Linked DNA regions of Mus musculus. The protein of the gene in region 1 binds, or shares a complex with, the protein of each later gene. Links are inferred from orthologs where the notes say so. Each region holds a gene or a part of one and is shown on either strand. Other genes may lie near its edges.

The links. Proteins that work in one complex are often made in the same cells at the same time.
Region 2: the proteins of Izumo1 (region 1) and Izumo1r are in contact, whole or in part, in a crystal structure (PDB 5JKC), measured with the Homo sapiens proteins. The link is inferred for Mus musculus from reciprocal best matches to the Homo sapiens genes IZUMO1 and IZUMO1R. Residues at the interface, in NP_872381.2 of Homo sapiens: Met75, Val77, Tyr134, Val141, Leu146, Trp148, Lys150, Asn151, Lys153, Glu155, Val156, His157, Ala158, Arg160, Lys161, Ser162, Tyr163, Asn239, Ser240, Ser241, Pro242, Ile245; in NP_001186135.1 of Homo sapiens: Lys42, Tyr44, Glu45, Ile48, Leu58, Trp62, His65, Leu66, Asp67, Gly80, Leu81, Leu82, Met83, Pro84, Gly85, Arg87, Ile91, Met145, Ser146, Tyr147, Gln171.

The regions. Positions count from the first base shown.
Region 1 is NC_000073.6:45,618,657-45,626,495, forward strand, and holds the start of Izumo1 (izumo sperm-egg fusion protein 1 precursor), read left to right. Parts: upstream 1-3,154; 5' UTR 3,155-3,344; intron 3,345-4,065; 5' UTR 4,066-4,140; coding exon 4,141-4,375; intron 4,376-4,637; coding exon 4,638-4,712; intron 4,713-5,478; coding exon 5,479-5,565; intron 5,566-6,005; coding exon 6,006-6,026; intron 6,027-6,272; coding exon 6,273-6,353; intron 6,354-6,465; coding exon 6,466-6,566; intron 6,567-6,885; coding exon 6,886-7,039; intron 7,040-7,366; coding exon 7,367-7,625; intron 7,626-7,839. Other genes in the region: Fut1 (galactoside alpha-(1,2)-fucosyltransferase 1), read left to right, coding at 1-1,101. UniProt on the Homo sapiens protein: Essential sperm cell-surface protein required for fertilization by acting as a ligand for IZUMO1R/JUNO receptor on egg.
Region 2 is NC_000075.6:14,899,849-14,907,661, reverse strand, and holds Izumo1r (sperm-egg fusion protein Juno isoform 1 precursor), read left to right. Parts: upstream 1-3,894; 5' UTR 3,895-3,949; intron 3,950-4,278; exon of another isoform or gene 4,279-4,370; intron 4,371-5,076; exon of another isoform or gene 5,077-5,117; coding exon of another isoform or gene 5,118-5,141; coding exon 5,142-5,279; intron 5,280-5,825; coding exon 5,826-6,014; intron 6,015-6,790; coding exon 6,791-6,929; coding exon of another isoform or gene 6,930-7,037; coding exon 7,038-7,306; 3' UTR 7,307-7,639; downstream 7,640-7,813. UniProt on the Homo sapiens protein: Receptor for IZUMO1 present at the cell surface of oocytes (oolemma), which is essential for species-specific gamete recognition and fertilization.

The DNA of each region.
Region 1 (7,839 bases):
GCATTTCTGTTGGTCTGTGTGCTCTCTGCCGGCTCCTTCTTTTTCCACCTGAATGGAGGAAACTTCTTTCGAAATGGTCTAACTCTCTCTGTCCTGTGTTCAGACTATCACCTGCTGAAGTCCCCAGTGGCCATGGTATGCCTACCTCATCCATTGCAGACATCTAATGGCTCCCCTTCCTGTCCTGAGCAGTCCTCCTCACTCTCTGGGACTTGGACAATCACCCCAGGAGGCAGGTTTGGTAACCAGATGGGGCAGTATGCTACATTGCTGGCCCTAGCCCAGCTCAATGGTCGCCAAGCCTTCATCCAACCTGAGATGCATGCCGCCCTGGCCCCCGTGTTCCGAATCTCCCTGCCAGTGCTGGACCCTGAGGTGGACAGCCTCACACCTTGGCAGCACTTAGTCCTACATGACTGGATGTCAGAGGAGTACTCCCATCTGGAGGACCCATTTCTCAAGCTGTCTGGTTTCCCCTGCTCTTGGACCTTTTTCCATCATCTTCGGGAACAGATTCGTAGGGAATTCACTCTGCATAACCATCTACGGGAAGGTGCCCAGTACCTGTTGAGCGGGCTCCGTATAGGCCCGGCGGGCATCCGCCCTCATACCTTTGTGGGTGTCCATGTGCGTCGTGGAGACTATCTGGAGGTGATGCCCAATCGCTGGAAGGGTGTGGTGGGTGACCGAGCTTACCTCCAGCAAGCCATGGACTGGTTCCGGGCCCGACACAAAGACCCCATCTTTGTGGTCACCAGCAATGGCATGAAATGGTGTTTGGAGAACATTGACACATCCCATGGTGATGTGGTCTTCGCTGGCAATGGACAGGAGGGTACACCGGGGAAGGACTTTGCACTTCTCACACAGTGTAACCACACCATCATGACTATTGGCACCTTTGGCTTCTGGGCTGCCTACTTAGCTGGTGGAGACACGGTCTACCTTGCAAACTTCACCCTGCCAGATTCGGAGTTTCTGAAGATCTTCAGGCCTGAGGCTGCCTTCCTGCCTGAGTGGGTGGGCATCAATGCAGACTTGTCCCCGCTGCAGGCTCAATTTGACCCCTGGAAGCCAGACAGTCTTTTTAGATTGGTCTGACTCATCAGAAGTCAGCCATCCATGTCTCTATGCTTTGGTGTATGTCTGTGGTAGCCCTGGAGCTGTGGGTACTCATTTCCAGACTTGCACATCAACTTGCTGGAAATGCTGGAATGCTTTGCAGACACTTCAACAGGATATCATTTTCTGATTGCAGGGGAAGCCCAAGTCAGCACTGTAAGCCACAGTCTCTTCCGACTCTTCTGGCTCGTCTTCTTAGAACCTCTGGGCAGCTGTTTCTGGGTTAGGGAGGCTGAAGAAAATCCAGACTTACCAACTGGTCTCCTGGATTTCTGGGGTTATTCTAGGCTGTTTCTGAGAACCTGGTCCAGTCCCTTTGCAACACTCTGCAGGGCCCTCTCAACACTCCAGACAGTGAAGAATTTAATGAAGGTAGATGCAAAAGCTCAGTACTTCCTCACTGCTGGAGGCACGGAGTGATGCTAGAGGCACAGAGTGATGCTGCTGGAGGCACGGAGTGATGCTGGAGGCACGGAGTGATGCTGGAAGCACGGAGTGATGCTGCTGGAGGCACGGAGTGATGCTGGAAGCACGGAGTGATGCTGGAGGCACGGAGTGATTCGAGCCTTTCTGGAGCCAGTCTCTTGTTAGAGAGATGAGAACAATTGGAGGACATATGAATTCTGTCCAACTCCTTGGCCCCAGAGAAACCTGAAAGACTTTTATTTAGGATGGGAAGAGCAAATGGCTATAAGTGGGCTGGAGGAGAGAGCCGCTGTTGAGACACATCTGTCTCGAGGCACGGGGTCTCCTAAAAGATCTAGGAACTTTACAAGAGAGAGAGAGAGAGAGAGAGAGAGAGAGAGAGAGAGAGCTCAAAAGTTAAAGAACAACACAGATTAATCTTGGATTTAGGATCAAGGAGGTTTCTTCTTCTGAAGATGCTATTAGGGGATCTGGGATCTGTTTTCTAGAGGTAACCAGGCCTACAGAAAAGAAGGGCATACCCCTGGGCCCACAAAGTCCCCAAATCTGGCTCTGAGAAGATCCAGGGTAAAGGGTCTGAAGGTGTTCCAGAACCTAGAACCCAGAACCCCGAACCCAGCCTATGCCCCTACAGAAGCCCGGGCTTGAAACAAGGATGGGACGTTTGGCTGAGATTGGGTATGTGTGATGCCTTTTCAAGAATGGAGGAAGGTTCCTCAGATAGCATTTAATCTAACTGTATTTATTCCCTTCCAAGAGCAACTTCTATTCTTCTCAGGGAGTTTCCGGGCACTTTTTCCCAAGTTGGCCTGTACAGGCTGGAGAGGGAGCTGTGAATTAAAGGGCCACATCGCCAATACTTGTATCTGATGTTTTTGGAGCTGTGTACTGCATGTGTTGAGTGTGCAACACAATAAAGGTGTGTGTGTGTGTGTGTGTGTCGACCGAGGACATTCATGTCTCATGGATACAGCACCTACTCAGATCTGGTAACACTTGCTGCAAGAGGACTTGTGGTCCAATTTCCTTTCTCTGAAATTTTCATTATTGGCTACCAGACTTGTCATATGTTTTGTCTTATTTTGAGATAATCCAGGCTGGCCTAGAATTCACTCTGTAGACCAAGCTGGCCTGGAATTTGTGGCGATCTTCTTGTTTCAGTCTCCCAAGAGCTAGGACTACACATGTGGGTCACCATGCTTGGATCCAGGACTCTCCTTAACATGGTTTGAGGCAAGAAAGGAAGAATATCACTATCAACTATGTTTTCCATGTTGTGGGACAGATCATAAAGAAAGAGACGCTCCAGTGCTTTCTGGGAGTTGTAGTCCCAGTTTAGAAGACAAGCCACTTCCTGCATATCCTTATCTAGACACCAAGGTTTCCAATCAGCCAGAGGGCATCCTGCGGAAAACCTGGGGTCTACAAAGACCTGAAAGGAGGCTAGGGCAGGTTACTGGCTTTCGTTCAGGTCGGTGCTGGGAAAGTTCTACTATGGACTGCCACCCTATGACGTCACGATGGGATGGGCGGGGCCTACTTTGTTGCAGCCCAATTAAACTTGAGAGTTTGATTTCTGGGCGGGGCCTAAGAGTCAGGAAATAAGGGGATGACCGGTGACTCTTGGAGTCAGTAGAAAAACCCTAAATTACTCTCCCCAGTCTTCCAAGGAAAACCTTACTCTTAGTCGTGAGAAAGTATTTTAAAAAGTCCTCAGAACCTGGACTGAGCTGGGTGAAGCATTAGCGCTTGAGGGCGCGGAATTGGAAAGCGGCTTTTAAAGGGTGTTGTTTAAGGTACTGGGGGGCCTGAGAAGAGTCTGTCCTGAAAGGGGTCTCAGCCTTGAGGAAGAGTAGACAGGTACCCCAGAGACTGGAGGATGGCTTTGGAGGCATGCTGAAGTTTTTCCAGGTTTAAGTATCAGCTTTAAGGATTTGGGGTTTAAAACTTTTTATTCTGAAACCTTTTAAGTTTGGTAATATCCAAGTTGGTTACTTATTAGATAAATTGTTTACTATTTATTTAATTAATTTTATTAATATTTTATTAATATTTAGTTAATTAATTTTGAGACAATCTCAAGTAGGCCATGGTGGTCTTGACTTAGCCTCTCAAGTGCTGCTACCTGGATTTTTTTTTTTTTTTTTTGATGGTTTCTCGAGTTTGACTATTGAATGTCTAGTTTGTGGTGTCACAAGTTTTCCTGGCTAGAGAGTCTAAATGTTGATCTATTCTTAGGTTCAGAGTTAAGAAAACATGTGAGTTTGGGGTAGCTGGAGAGTGAACCCATGAGTGGGAAGTTTGAATGGTGTGTGGATGGAGATGGTCCTGAATTTGGGATCTGACGTAATAGTTTTCAGGGATGCAATGAGGACCAAAAAAATTTGAGGTTGGGGAGTCCAAGTTCACAACTTTGGGTCTTTGATTAGTGATATCTCCTTTTATTCGGGAATATCCCAAAGAATACCTCATATTGAGCTCTGGAATCCTCTAAGACTGATTTTGGCTTCTGTTTAGCGCCCTCCCCCCTGCCCTCTGTTTGGGGTGAGAGGATCCTCTGGCGGTGCTGGCAAGCTGTGCGTTCTGGCCTTCATGGGGCCGCATTTTACACTCTTGCTGGCAGCTCTTGCCAACTGCCTGTGTCCAGGGAGGCCCTGCATCAAATGTGACCAGTTTGTGACAGATGCGCTAAAGACTTTCGAAAACACTTACCTGAATGACCACCTGCCACACGACATTCACAAAAATGTAATGAGGATGGTGAACCATGAAGTATCGAGCTTCGGCGTAGTCACTTCGGCTGAGGATTCCTATTTGGGGGCCGTGGGTAAGGAGGGCAGGTCAAGATGCAGACCTCGGGAGCTTGGGAGAGGAAGGGCTGGGGCAAGAAGTCCCAGTCTAGGGGTGACAGGGACTGTAGGTAGAATGAAAAAGTGGCTGGGTGTAGTAGTCCACGCCTTTATTCCCGGTACTTGGGAGGCAGAGGCGGGTCTCTCTTTGCCCGATGGCTTCATGGGTATTGGAGTTACTATGAGCTAGAAAAGCTGGAGTCTGGAGTCTAGGGTTCTATATCTGCCCTCCACACACAGACGAGAACACACTGGAACAAGCAACCTGGAGTTTTCTGAAGGATCTGAAGCGTATTACAGACAGTGACTTAAAAGGTAAATGTGCCCAAAGATATGGGCAGATCCTCAGAAGTCATGGCTGGTGACACTTCAAACAGAAGTTAAGATTCATGCCTCTGCTTGGGTGCCATTGTGGCCCTGCCACTTCTTAGCCAAGTGACCCTGAGCCTGGGGCCTGGCAACTTTCACAGCCTCGACGTGGAAGTCCTGACCATCTTCCTTTCTCACTGGCTGTGAGGCCTGAGGGAAGTAAGACGTGCATTTTATAGCCCGATGACGGCAAGTTCGGTGCTTGATCGGATTGTTCTCCTGGAAAGGGCTAGACTATGAAATGCTAGCCCAGACAGGTGGGGCACGCCTGCACTCCCAGCTACTCAGGAGGCTGAGGCAGGAGAATTGCTTAAACCTAAAGTTCCAGAACAGCTCAGGCAATATAATGACATCCTTTCTAAGCAAATAAGAAAAAGAGGTGGAGCTGGCTGTGGTGGCGCACGCCTTTAATCCCAGCACTGGGGAGGCAGAGGCTGCCAGATCTCTGAGTTTGAGACCAGCCTGGTCTACACGGAAAGTTCTAGGCCAGCCAGAACTCATGGTGAGAGAAGAGAGGAAAAAATTAGGGGTTGGGATGTTGGGTATGGTGGTGCATGCTTGAAGACGGAGGCAGAAGAATCAGGCGTTCAAGGTCATCTTCAGCTACATAGTGAGTCTGAAGCCACTTATAGTACCTGTAGTGTACGGAATGCTAGACTGCACCTCGCCTCTGAGTGTCGGGGGCATCTCTTTTGGCTCTGTTTCCTCCTAGGAGAGCTCTTTATAAAGGAACTATTGTGGATGCTTCGTCATCAAAAGGACATCTTTAACAATCTTGCTAGACAGTTCCAAAAGGAAGGTGAGGGAAGGTGGAGGCGTAAGACACACCCACTGCCACCACTGGCTTCCTTAACTCCACCTCCACTCGCGCCCTCAGGAGCACCTCCCCCAGGTCCTTCCCTCCCTGCCCCACAGCTCCTAAATCGCAGACCTTTCTGTTCCACATCCACTCCTCCCTCTGGGGCTTGGTAGCAAAGCCTGTCATTCCAGCACTTGGAAGACTGAGGCAGGAGGATTGCAAGTTTGAGGCCACCTTGGGCTTAATGCCGACAGGCTGAGCCTACCCCTGTGAGTGAGTATAGGACTTGATGGGTGGAGGCAGGAAGTGGGGAGCTCCAGGTCCTCTTTATCCACAGCAAGTTTGAGACTAGCCTGGGCTACGCGAGACTCCTTTCTAAAAACAAAAATAAATCTGATTTTCTTTCTCTTTCCCTCCCTCCTTTCTCCCTTTGGAGGCAGTTCTTTGTCCCAACAAATGCGGTAAGTCCAATACGCATAACCTGTTCTTATTGCCCCATGGGCCTCCCCTCTGACCAGTCCTTGGACCTCCAGCACTCTCTCCAACTTGGGTTTCTTAGATAGTGAGCAGTGTTGTAGTTGCTCCCCTTCAGCAGGGTACTAACAATCTAGATAATGCAGATAGCTGCCCAGCCCTTGACCTGGACAAATTCTCTGTTCAGCCCTGCCTCTGAGAGGGAGACTACAACTTTAACCTTTGCCCTTTAGGAGTGATGTCGCAGACTTTGATCTGGTGTCTTAAGTGCGAAAAGCAGTTGCACATTTGTCGGAAATCCCTAGATTGTGGAGGTGAGGATGCCACCCAGCATAAGAGCCCAGTGTGAGAGGGGGGACAGGGCCTATAAGAGGCAGCTGCAGCAAGGCTCCTGCAGAAGTAGCTGCAGCTCCCTCTTTTGCACAGAGCGCCACATAGAGGTACATCGCTCGGAAGACCTGGTCCTGGACTGTCTGCTCAGTTGGCATCGTGCTTCTAAGGGACTTACAGATTACAGTTTTTACAGGGTGGGAACATCCGACTCCCTTGATCCTAAGTCTGTTAGACCTTTATGAGCCCCTGGGTCCCCTGCCCTGAACCAGGCCTTCACGGCCTGTTAGAGGTATCCTCTAATGATCCTTAGAGAGATCCCATACCCTGACCAGGGACTCGCTGTTGCCAGCCACGATCCTGTGGATGGCAGCCAGTCTAGGATGCCTCCTGTCAGGATTAGGGAGGTCAGGAGTCCTGATTCCTTCTTCCCCTGCACCCCAGGCCCCCTGTACTCCCCCACCTCCCAGTTCCCAAATTCCCCAGGCCTCTGTGACCCCTTGAGCTTGGGTCTAGGTTTGGGAGAACAGTTCTGAGACCTTGATTGCCAAGGGGAAAGAACCATATCTGACCAAGTCGATGGTGGGTCCAGAGGATGCTGGCAACTACCGCTGTGTGCTAGATACCATCAACCAAGGTCATGCCACCGTCATCCGCTACGATGTCACAGGTCAGTCTGGGGTGTTGGAAAAGTGGCATTCGGGGTGGGAGAAGCTCTGGAGGTGTGGCCTCGTCCACGGGACCAGATTTACTTGGCATGGCCTTGTTATTGGGTTTGTGGCTTTGGCTATAAACAGGGTCTGTGATGAGAGGTGTGGCTTCCCTTAGAAGGTGTGTTTTCTGGTCTTGGAGGTATGGTTTCCTGCCTAACTGGGTTGTCTTAGGCTTCAGTTGGACTTACTGGGGTGTGCCCACCCTTTAGAGAAGGCTAGGGTTTTGGGGTAGGCTTGCAGTTATTGGCTGCTGCCAGGACTGCCCTATGGTTCTCCTCTGTCAGTATTGCCCCCAAAGCATTCAGAGGAAAACCAACCACCGAACATCATAACCCAAGAGGAGCACGAGACTCCTGTCCACGTGACTCCACAGACACCACCGGGGCAGGAGCCAGAGTCGGAGCTGTACCCGGAGCTGCACCCAGAGTTGTACCCGGAGCTCATACCTACAGTCGCTCAAAATCCAGAGAAAAAAATGAAAACTCGCCTCTTAATACTGTTGACCCTTGGCTTTGTGGTTCTTGTGGCCAGCATCATTATCTCGTGAGCTGTTCACCAGGAAATTTAAAGGGAGGGTGGGCCTTAGATAAAGTGGACTTGGGTGAAGGGAAGAGACGCAGGTGCAGTGGAGGAAAAGCAGGAATGAGACAAGCTTTGAAAGGAGCATGTCTTTTTTTTTTCCATTTTTTTATTAGGTATTTAGCTCATTTACATTTCCAATGCTATACCAAAAGTCCCCCATACCCACCCACCCCCA
Region 2 (7,813 bases), on another chromosome or scaffold:
TGCAGAAACAACCAGCATGTGGGGGTCAACCATTTTATGAAATGGGGACCCCAAACAAAGGCACGCAAGCCTTCTTATAGGGAACCAGGGGAACTCTCTAGAGGGACTGGGAAATCCAAAATCTCATTGGTGGGTGCTAGGGTGTCACAAGTGGTCTGGAGTCAATGGCCTGCATTCCTATGTCATAAATGTTTAACCATTGGCTGAGATAGGGCTATCCAGTGCAGATGGCCCATTCTAAGATATTTTCCCATTCTTGTGGCTATTCCTGGGCTGTTCTTTGGAAGGGGGTTTTATATCTTGTTCTGGATTTTATGGTCTGTTCCTAGACCTGGTGTCTTATGACATTGTTTCTGGGACTTATGGTCTGTTCATGGAGCTGGTGCCTGTGGCCTTCTTTTTAAAATCAGATCTGATCCTTAAATGGAGAAAAATAGGGTTTATGTTGTCCTTTCAAAATAAGTTCTCTCATGGTTTGAATTATATAAGGAAAAGGATAAGAGAATGGGAGGAGACAAGAAATACTTTTAAAGATGGGAGAAAGATGTCTGAGAGGAGGAGGATGGGAAAGAAAGGGAGAGAATAGAAGAGAGGTGGGCTAGGTCATAGTAAACTGGGGAGCTGTCTGGACCAGTGTTGCTGCTTTCTAAAGGCACATAACATGAGACTCTTGCTCGGGCATGTGTCTGCCTGAACTGTGTACAGAAGGGAGGCTGAGGGAGACTGACAGGTGCTCATGGGGCAAAAGGCAGCGGTGGGAACAAAGCTATAACATCAGACCCAAGAGAGCATCTCCCCACACCAAGGAGCTTCATCCCTCGTGGGCAGGGGCAAGCAGTCCCTTCTGGGAACCAGAACCGAGTAGGAGTCCCTAGACACTGAGGCTGAGGGCGAGTGGACTGTGAGAGAGTAAACCTTGCCAAGGAGCCACGTTTTGGGAGCAGGGCAGTTACAGATTTTCGAGAGTCAAATGCTCTGCAGTGCACGCAAAAGGAAGGAGCTGAGTTCTGTCTGTGAAAGCAAGGGTAGGTGAAAGGAGAGAAGTGATTTTATAAAGTTGTCCTCTGACTGGATACATAGTCTATGGCACAAATGCCCACTCCATCACACACACACACACAAACAATTAATTCAGAATAGGAAAAAATGGACCTCAGATTAGAACAGAGAAATAAATGGATACTAGATTAAATAGGGCCTGTGAGGACCTGGAGATATGGTCAGTGGTTAAGAGCACTGGCTGCTCTTCCAGAGGACCTGGGTTCAATTCCCAGCATCCACATGGCAGCTCACAACTGTCTAAAACTCCTGTTCCAGAGATGTGACACCCTCACATAGACATACTAAACAGCAATGTACATGAAATTAAAACAATTTAAGCCCACAAACCATGAACAGTTACTTAAATGTATACAAAGATTTTAAATGTGAACATCTGGCAACCATCTTTATGTTTTTAAAGGATCATTCTGGATTTTTTTTTTAAATCATGACAGATATTATCTGGCTAACGATGTGTTTGAATTACTTGGAAGTGCACTGATTTCCTGCTTTGAGAAGCTCAGGGGACAGATTCCTCAAGAAAGAGATGGATGGTTGGCTCAAACTAACATAAAACACAAAACAGAACGTATAAAATCAAATTGGAGATGAGTATCCACTGTGAAGTTCTCTCAACTTTCCCGATGTTGGCAGATGTTAGAGTAACGCCCTGGGAAGTTTTACCGTTTTGACTGTTGCATGGATATTGCCTTGGAGGGAACCAGGGAGCCTGGTTGGAGTCTCTGAGCACTACCCCTGCTGCAGGAAGAACAGGAGCTTAAGCCAACAACACCTCACATTAGATTGAACCATCCAGAGTGAGAGGCACGCTGCCCTCTGCCAGAGCTACAAACTTGCAAGGGAGTTTAATTATTCAGGGGGTAAGGAGGATACTTGAGAAGAAGAGTTCCTGTCAGGCCTTGGCACTGGCTGCAGACTTCAGATACCCTGGGGTGTCCTAGCTTTTTTGTTTTTTGTTTGTCTTCAAATGCATTGCTTTGGATGACCTGATAACCCAAACGGTGGGAAGACAGGACAGGCATCACCATCCAGCATCCCTGTCACTTCAGGTCACCCCATTCACTGCCCCTCCCTCCCCCTTCAGAATGCCTTTAACTGCCTGCCCCTCTTCCCCTGGTCTTTAATCTGTTGCTGTTTTCGGCTGCTTGAGTGGCTCCATCCACAGCCAGCCCTGATTTAGCAGCCTTCAATCGGAAAACAGATTTCTCTGGAAGACTGGGACAAAATAAGGCAAAATGAGCTCTGTTCAAGGGCCTCACAGCACTTCTCTAGGGACAGATGCTTGGCCTGGAGCTCTCTGCAATCACCCCTCCCCCACTGCACCTGCATCCATGCTGGCTGCAATTTTGACACAATTCCTATAGCTCTGTCCTGGAGGTGGCTAAGAGAGTCCTCCTTATCTCTCTCCCTCCTTGTGGAGGACATTTTTCCATTCCAGTAATGACTCGTGTGACTCATTTTTGGATTCTTGCTCTTGCCACATCCACAGTCATTTTAAATTTAATGTTCAGTTCCAAAACGCTTACTTGTCAAGACTTGTTGCTCCCTGGGTGTCTATACAGGACAGACGTGAGTACCTGCCTCTGCTGTCCCTGTGGACACCGATACAAAAGAGACCCTCGAAGCAGAAATGCCTTTCCATTTGGCCTCTGGCTTCAGGAAATGAGTCTCAGCTCTGTTGAAGACCAGACATGCAAGTTGGGCTGATAACCATTACTGCTCTGTTCCGGAAAAGCCAACACACCCCCACCCCCAAAGTCTGACTGTGACGTTTAATTTTTTTAAAGATCTGGATAGTTTCTACCCCTCAGTCCTGGGGGCATCCCCCTCACCTGGTTCATAAGCATTAAATATGGAGTCAAACAAGCCTTTCTCAGATTCTAGCTCCATCAACCTCTGTCCGAGCCTCAGTATCCCCTACAAAAGAGAGTGCTCATTTGGGGTATTCTTGCAGGCAGTAAGCCAGACTGTGTACCAGTGCCCTAGCCTCCAGCCCCGTGACTAGTCCTCGTGGATGTTCAGTACTCCATACCCACGCATGGAAACTGCTATTTTCCCTGCACAAAATCAATGTGCTTTGTACATTGACTGGCAGCTGAACACCGTGTGCTGTACTTTGTCTTCCTTGGTGGAAATCACAAGGAATGTTTTTATTTATTTACTACTTTTTGTATGAAATTTCAGTGATTTTTGGCTACTTTTCCTTTGGAGACAGAACATAAAAGACAAGCAAAGTTATGGGCATCACCTCCAATGGGACCTTTGGAGCAGCGATCAGACCAGGCACAGGGTGCAAATGCAGGCTGCCCCTGGTGGCCCTGAGGGGCGGCTTTTGTTTCAGCTTTGATTGTTGCTTAAATTCTTGGCTGGCCAAGCTGCCTGTCTGTGCACCTGCGTGCTGCTAAGCTAGACCCGGATGCTGTGGGAGGATTCTGTTACTCAGAGGCCCCAGGGGTCTGAGCAGAGGAAGGGACCCGAGGAAGCTTCTGAGAACAAAAGATGAAGGACTGTTAAGACATCCCTGGGCTGTGAACTTTTCATGATCCCTCTCACCCCACCCCCACCCCCCACCCCGCCGGACAGATTCTGCCAACAGCTCTCATTACAGAGCAACAGACTGATAGAATCTAAGTTATTTCCAAGTTCTCACAGGTTAGAAGCAGTGCTGAGAGTTGAACTTGCCACCCACTTCAGGGATCTCTGGTACCACAAGGTCTTGTTTCTCTCTCTCTCTTGGAGGCAGGCTACTCAGGTCTAGCTACTGGCGGCTCTCCACACCTGTAGCTCATAGAAGCTGAAGGCTGATAAAAGGGCAGTGGGTGGAGCGCCCTCAGCCCGCTCACCTCTTTGGCATCAGGAGGAGCAACAGGAGGGCCCTGCCTTGAAGGTACATCTGAAGACAATGCTGAGGGGGCTGGTGTCTTTCCTCTCTTCATCTTACCTTCCCGGTCTTTCAGAATAGTTGTTCTTTGTGCAAACTTGGAGCTGGCTCTGTGGAAGAACAGTCTTGGGTTTGGAGTTCAGGATGGGTTCTGCAGAAGAGTCTGGGTCTCTAAGTCACATCTCAGACATCCTGAGGTAGACTACTACTCCGGCTAAACTGCTGATGTGTAGGGCAGGCTCCCAGCAAGCCTAGGTGACGTAAGACCCATGAAGTCCTGGCAGTGAGGACTGACTGGAGCCCTCCTGAAGCCGGGTTTGCCCTTGTTCTAGCAGAGGGGCGATCTCTCTGTCCAGCCTCTCCACCACCGCCCCCCATTGCCAGTACAACCCAGAAGAGAACTGGAAATGTATCAGCAAACACCAAGGTACAAGCCAGCCTTCGTGTTCCTGTGCTAGGATGAGGGCTTAAAGGTGGAAGTCTCCTCAGCCCCTAGCCCTGAGAGGCCAGCAGGGGTCTTAGGCTGTCTGTTACAGCCTGACACATAGGGTGTCTCTGAGATAGACTGGGGTTGGTTGAAATGAGCTAAGGAAAGCTCATTGGTTGAAGGGTCAGGGTGGGGATGAACTACTCTGAGGAGCTGGTGTGGACCCTTCCTAGGGAATAGAACTAGGGTTGGCATGTGATGGATAAAGCTGGCTTTGACATCCCACCCCACCATGTTCTTTTGCCATAAGGAGAATCTGTTTACTGGGAATTGGTTACTTGGCCAAGAGGCTGGCTGTGGGCTGGGATTAAAGCTCTAAACTTCGAATCCATATTATTACCAAACTAGCAAACTGTATCTAAGTGAGCAGCTTAGATCCATTCCTTGCCTGGCCTCCTCTTCAGAGCTGCTGTTTGTTTGTTTGTTTGTTTTTCTTTTTCTTCTCTTTTCCCCTGTTGGTCAGTTTGCTTTCTACATTCCTGCAATGGTTTGTAATGAGTGCCAGATCCAAGTCTTACTCTACATTCTGTGATGCTGCTCTACACAGAAGGTTCTAGGAGCAGCCAGAATATTTCAGCAACCTAAGGAAGCCTTGGAGCCCCTCCTCCCTCTTCAGTGCCTGGTGGTTGGCAGGAGTGGGGTGGGTGTTACCTTCCTGGTCTTTCAGAAGACTAGGTTCTCTTTACCATGGGCTTCTCTCTGTGGCAGGTCATGGCACAGTGGTGGCAGATCCTCTTGGGGTTGTGGGCAGTCCTACCCACCTTGGCAGGGGACAAACTGCTCAGCGTCTGCATGAATTCCAAGCGCCACAAGCAAGAACCTGGCCCAGAAGACGAACTCTACCAGGAGGTACAGAGCAGCGCTGGCCCAGGGGCTAGGGCAGCTTCTTAGGATTATTTGAGAAGAAATACAGACCAGGTGGTCTCTGTACCCCACCACCCCTAATCATTTAGATCCTTAATTTGGGGTCCATCTAGGGCTTTGCCACTAAGCTGTTCTGGCCGCTTGGGAAACAGGTCATGTGGTGATCCCAGAGGCTATGCTAGCTAACCGTGGGTCAGAGCAAGCCTCCCTGCCAACATGCGCTGGCGAGACAGACCTTAATTTGTCTCCTTGTCAGTTTCCTAAAGGCTGTGGGAGGAGGAACATTCCAACGAGAAGCTCCTCCCACCCGTGATAACCACCCAGGTTCCTGAATCTTTCTATTTGCTTTCCTGGATTTATTGCCCCACCCCCACCCCCTGGAGCAGACACCTGGAAGCTATACTTTGTGGCAAGAAGGCAGAGGGGAGGGAGGTCAATGGTCAGGTGCGCCTCATTCTTCAGATACTAGAGTTCCTCCTCTAGAGAGGTGCTCATATCCCCTCTCCTGACGCCCTTCTGCCCCCACCTCAGTGCAGGCCTTGGGAGGACAATGCCTGCTGCACACGTTCCACAAGTTGGGAAGCCCACCTTGAGGAGCCCTTGCTCTTTAACTTCAGCATGATGCACTGTGGACTGCTGACCCCGGCCTGTCGCAAGCACTTCATCCAGGCCATCTGCTTCCATGAGTGTTCCCCCAACCTGGGGCCTTGGATCCAGCCGGTGAGGACATAGGAGACAGGAGGCAGACTCATGCAACACCCTTCCATTCAATCCTAGGCTGGCATCTACAGGAGGCAAGTAGGAACAGGAGATGCTGCCCCTCTAGGGATAAGAGCAGAGCCAGAGGTCTCTGCTGGAGACAGGGATGAAAAGGAAGCTAAAATGCCTCTGTCCCTGCATGATAACATGACAGACACTGTCTGATGAGGGCCAGTAGGATAAGGCAGGGTGGAATGAGATGAATCTGAGTGTGAATTCTATCTCCTGTACTTACTAACTGTAAGGCCTGGGACCAATGAGCTGCTCTGCCTCACGGTTCTCATTTATCCAATAATTGATGATGATGATGATGATGCCGATGATGATGCCTAGGGCTGAGAGATAGCTTAGTCAGTGAAGTGCTTATCACTATGCATGAGGACCTTAGTTCAATCCTTATTTAAAAAAAAAAAAAAAGCCAGATGTGGAGGTATGTTGCTATAATCCCAGCACTGCAGAGGCAGAGACAGGTGGGTCCCAGGAGCTTGCTTGCCAGCCAGCCTAGCCTGCTTGGTCAGGTCTAGGCCAAAGAGAAAATCCGAACCAATGTGGATGGTGCCTGAAGACCAATACTTGAGGTTGTTCCCTGGGCTCTGCAGAGAGAGGCATGGGTGCTAGCATGCGTGCACGCACACACATTCGCCTGCATTTACAGAATGTAAACACGTGCACGCGGAGAGAAGAAATAATACTTACATTGTAAAGAATTAAAATATGCCCCTCTCTTCTGCATCCAGGTGGTCCCAAACGGGCAGGAAGAGCAGCGGGTTTGGGGCGTGCCGCTGTGCCAGGAGGATTGTGAGGACTGGTGGCGAGCCTGCCACTCATCTTTGACTTGTAAATCCAACTGGCTCCATGGCTGGGACTGGAGTGAGGGTGAGTGGATTAACTACGCACTTGTGGCCCTCAGACTGGGTGAGGCTGCACGGGGCTCAGAAGGGAAGGGACAGTGGAAAGTTAGGAGCCCGTTCTCAATCCCCACAGAGAAGAAACACTGCCCCGCACATGAGCCCTGCCTCCCTTTTTCGTATCACTTCCCCACCCCGGATGACCTGTGTGAGAAGATCTGGAACAACACATTCAAGGCCAGTCCCGAGCGCAGGAACAGTGGGCGGTGTCTGCAGAAGTGGTTTGAGCCCACCCTTAGCAACCCCAACGTGGAAGTGGCCCTCCACTTTGCCGGCTCTGCCTTAGCCCCACAGCTCTCTTACACCCTCCCAGCCTTCTCTCTGTGCCTGTTGTTCCATCCCTGATCCCTGCTTCCCTCTCCAACCCACATTTCCTGATCCTTCTGGGCCATGGCCATCTCCATCCTCAGGCTATTCATGTTGGGGGCAGGCTGGCACCTGAATTTCTCATGCCTCCCAGGGTCCCCTCCATGCTTGGCTCCATCTCCACTGGTCTGGATGGCAGCTGGTACCCAGCAGTCTACGGTGCCTCATTTCTCCTGCCTTTACAAATGGGCACTACTATAGGACTCCGGCGCTTCTTCTGTCCACAGCCATCTCTTTTGTGACAGAGACAATGCTGACAGCCAAGCGACATGTCCTATCATGGTACCTTCAATAAAAGGCTAGGAAACTCTACTCTCCATGTGTCATTCTGGTCTAGTCCCATGAGCACCAATCCAAGATGCATCGAGAGAGCTGCCTTGCCTTCATTAAGATTTTAATTTCCTTGACTATTAAGGGGTATGAGAATTGTTAATATTTATTTGTCATTTGGAATGTTTTTCTCTTATACACTGTGTGTGTGTGTGT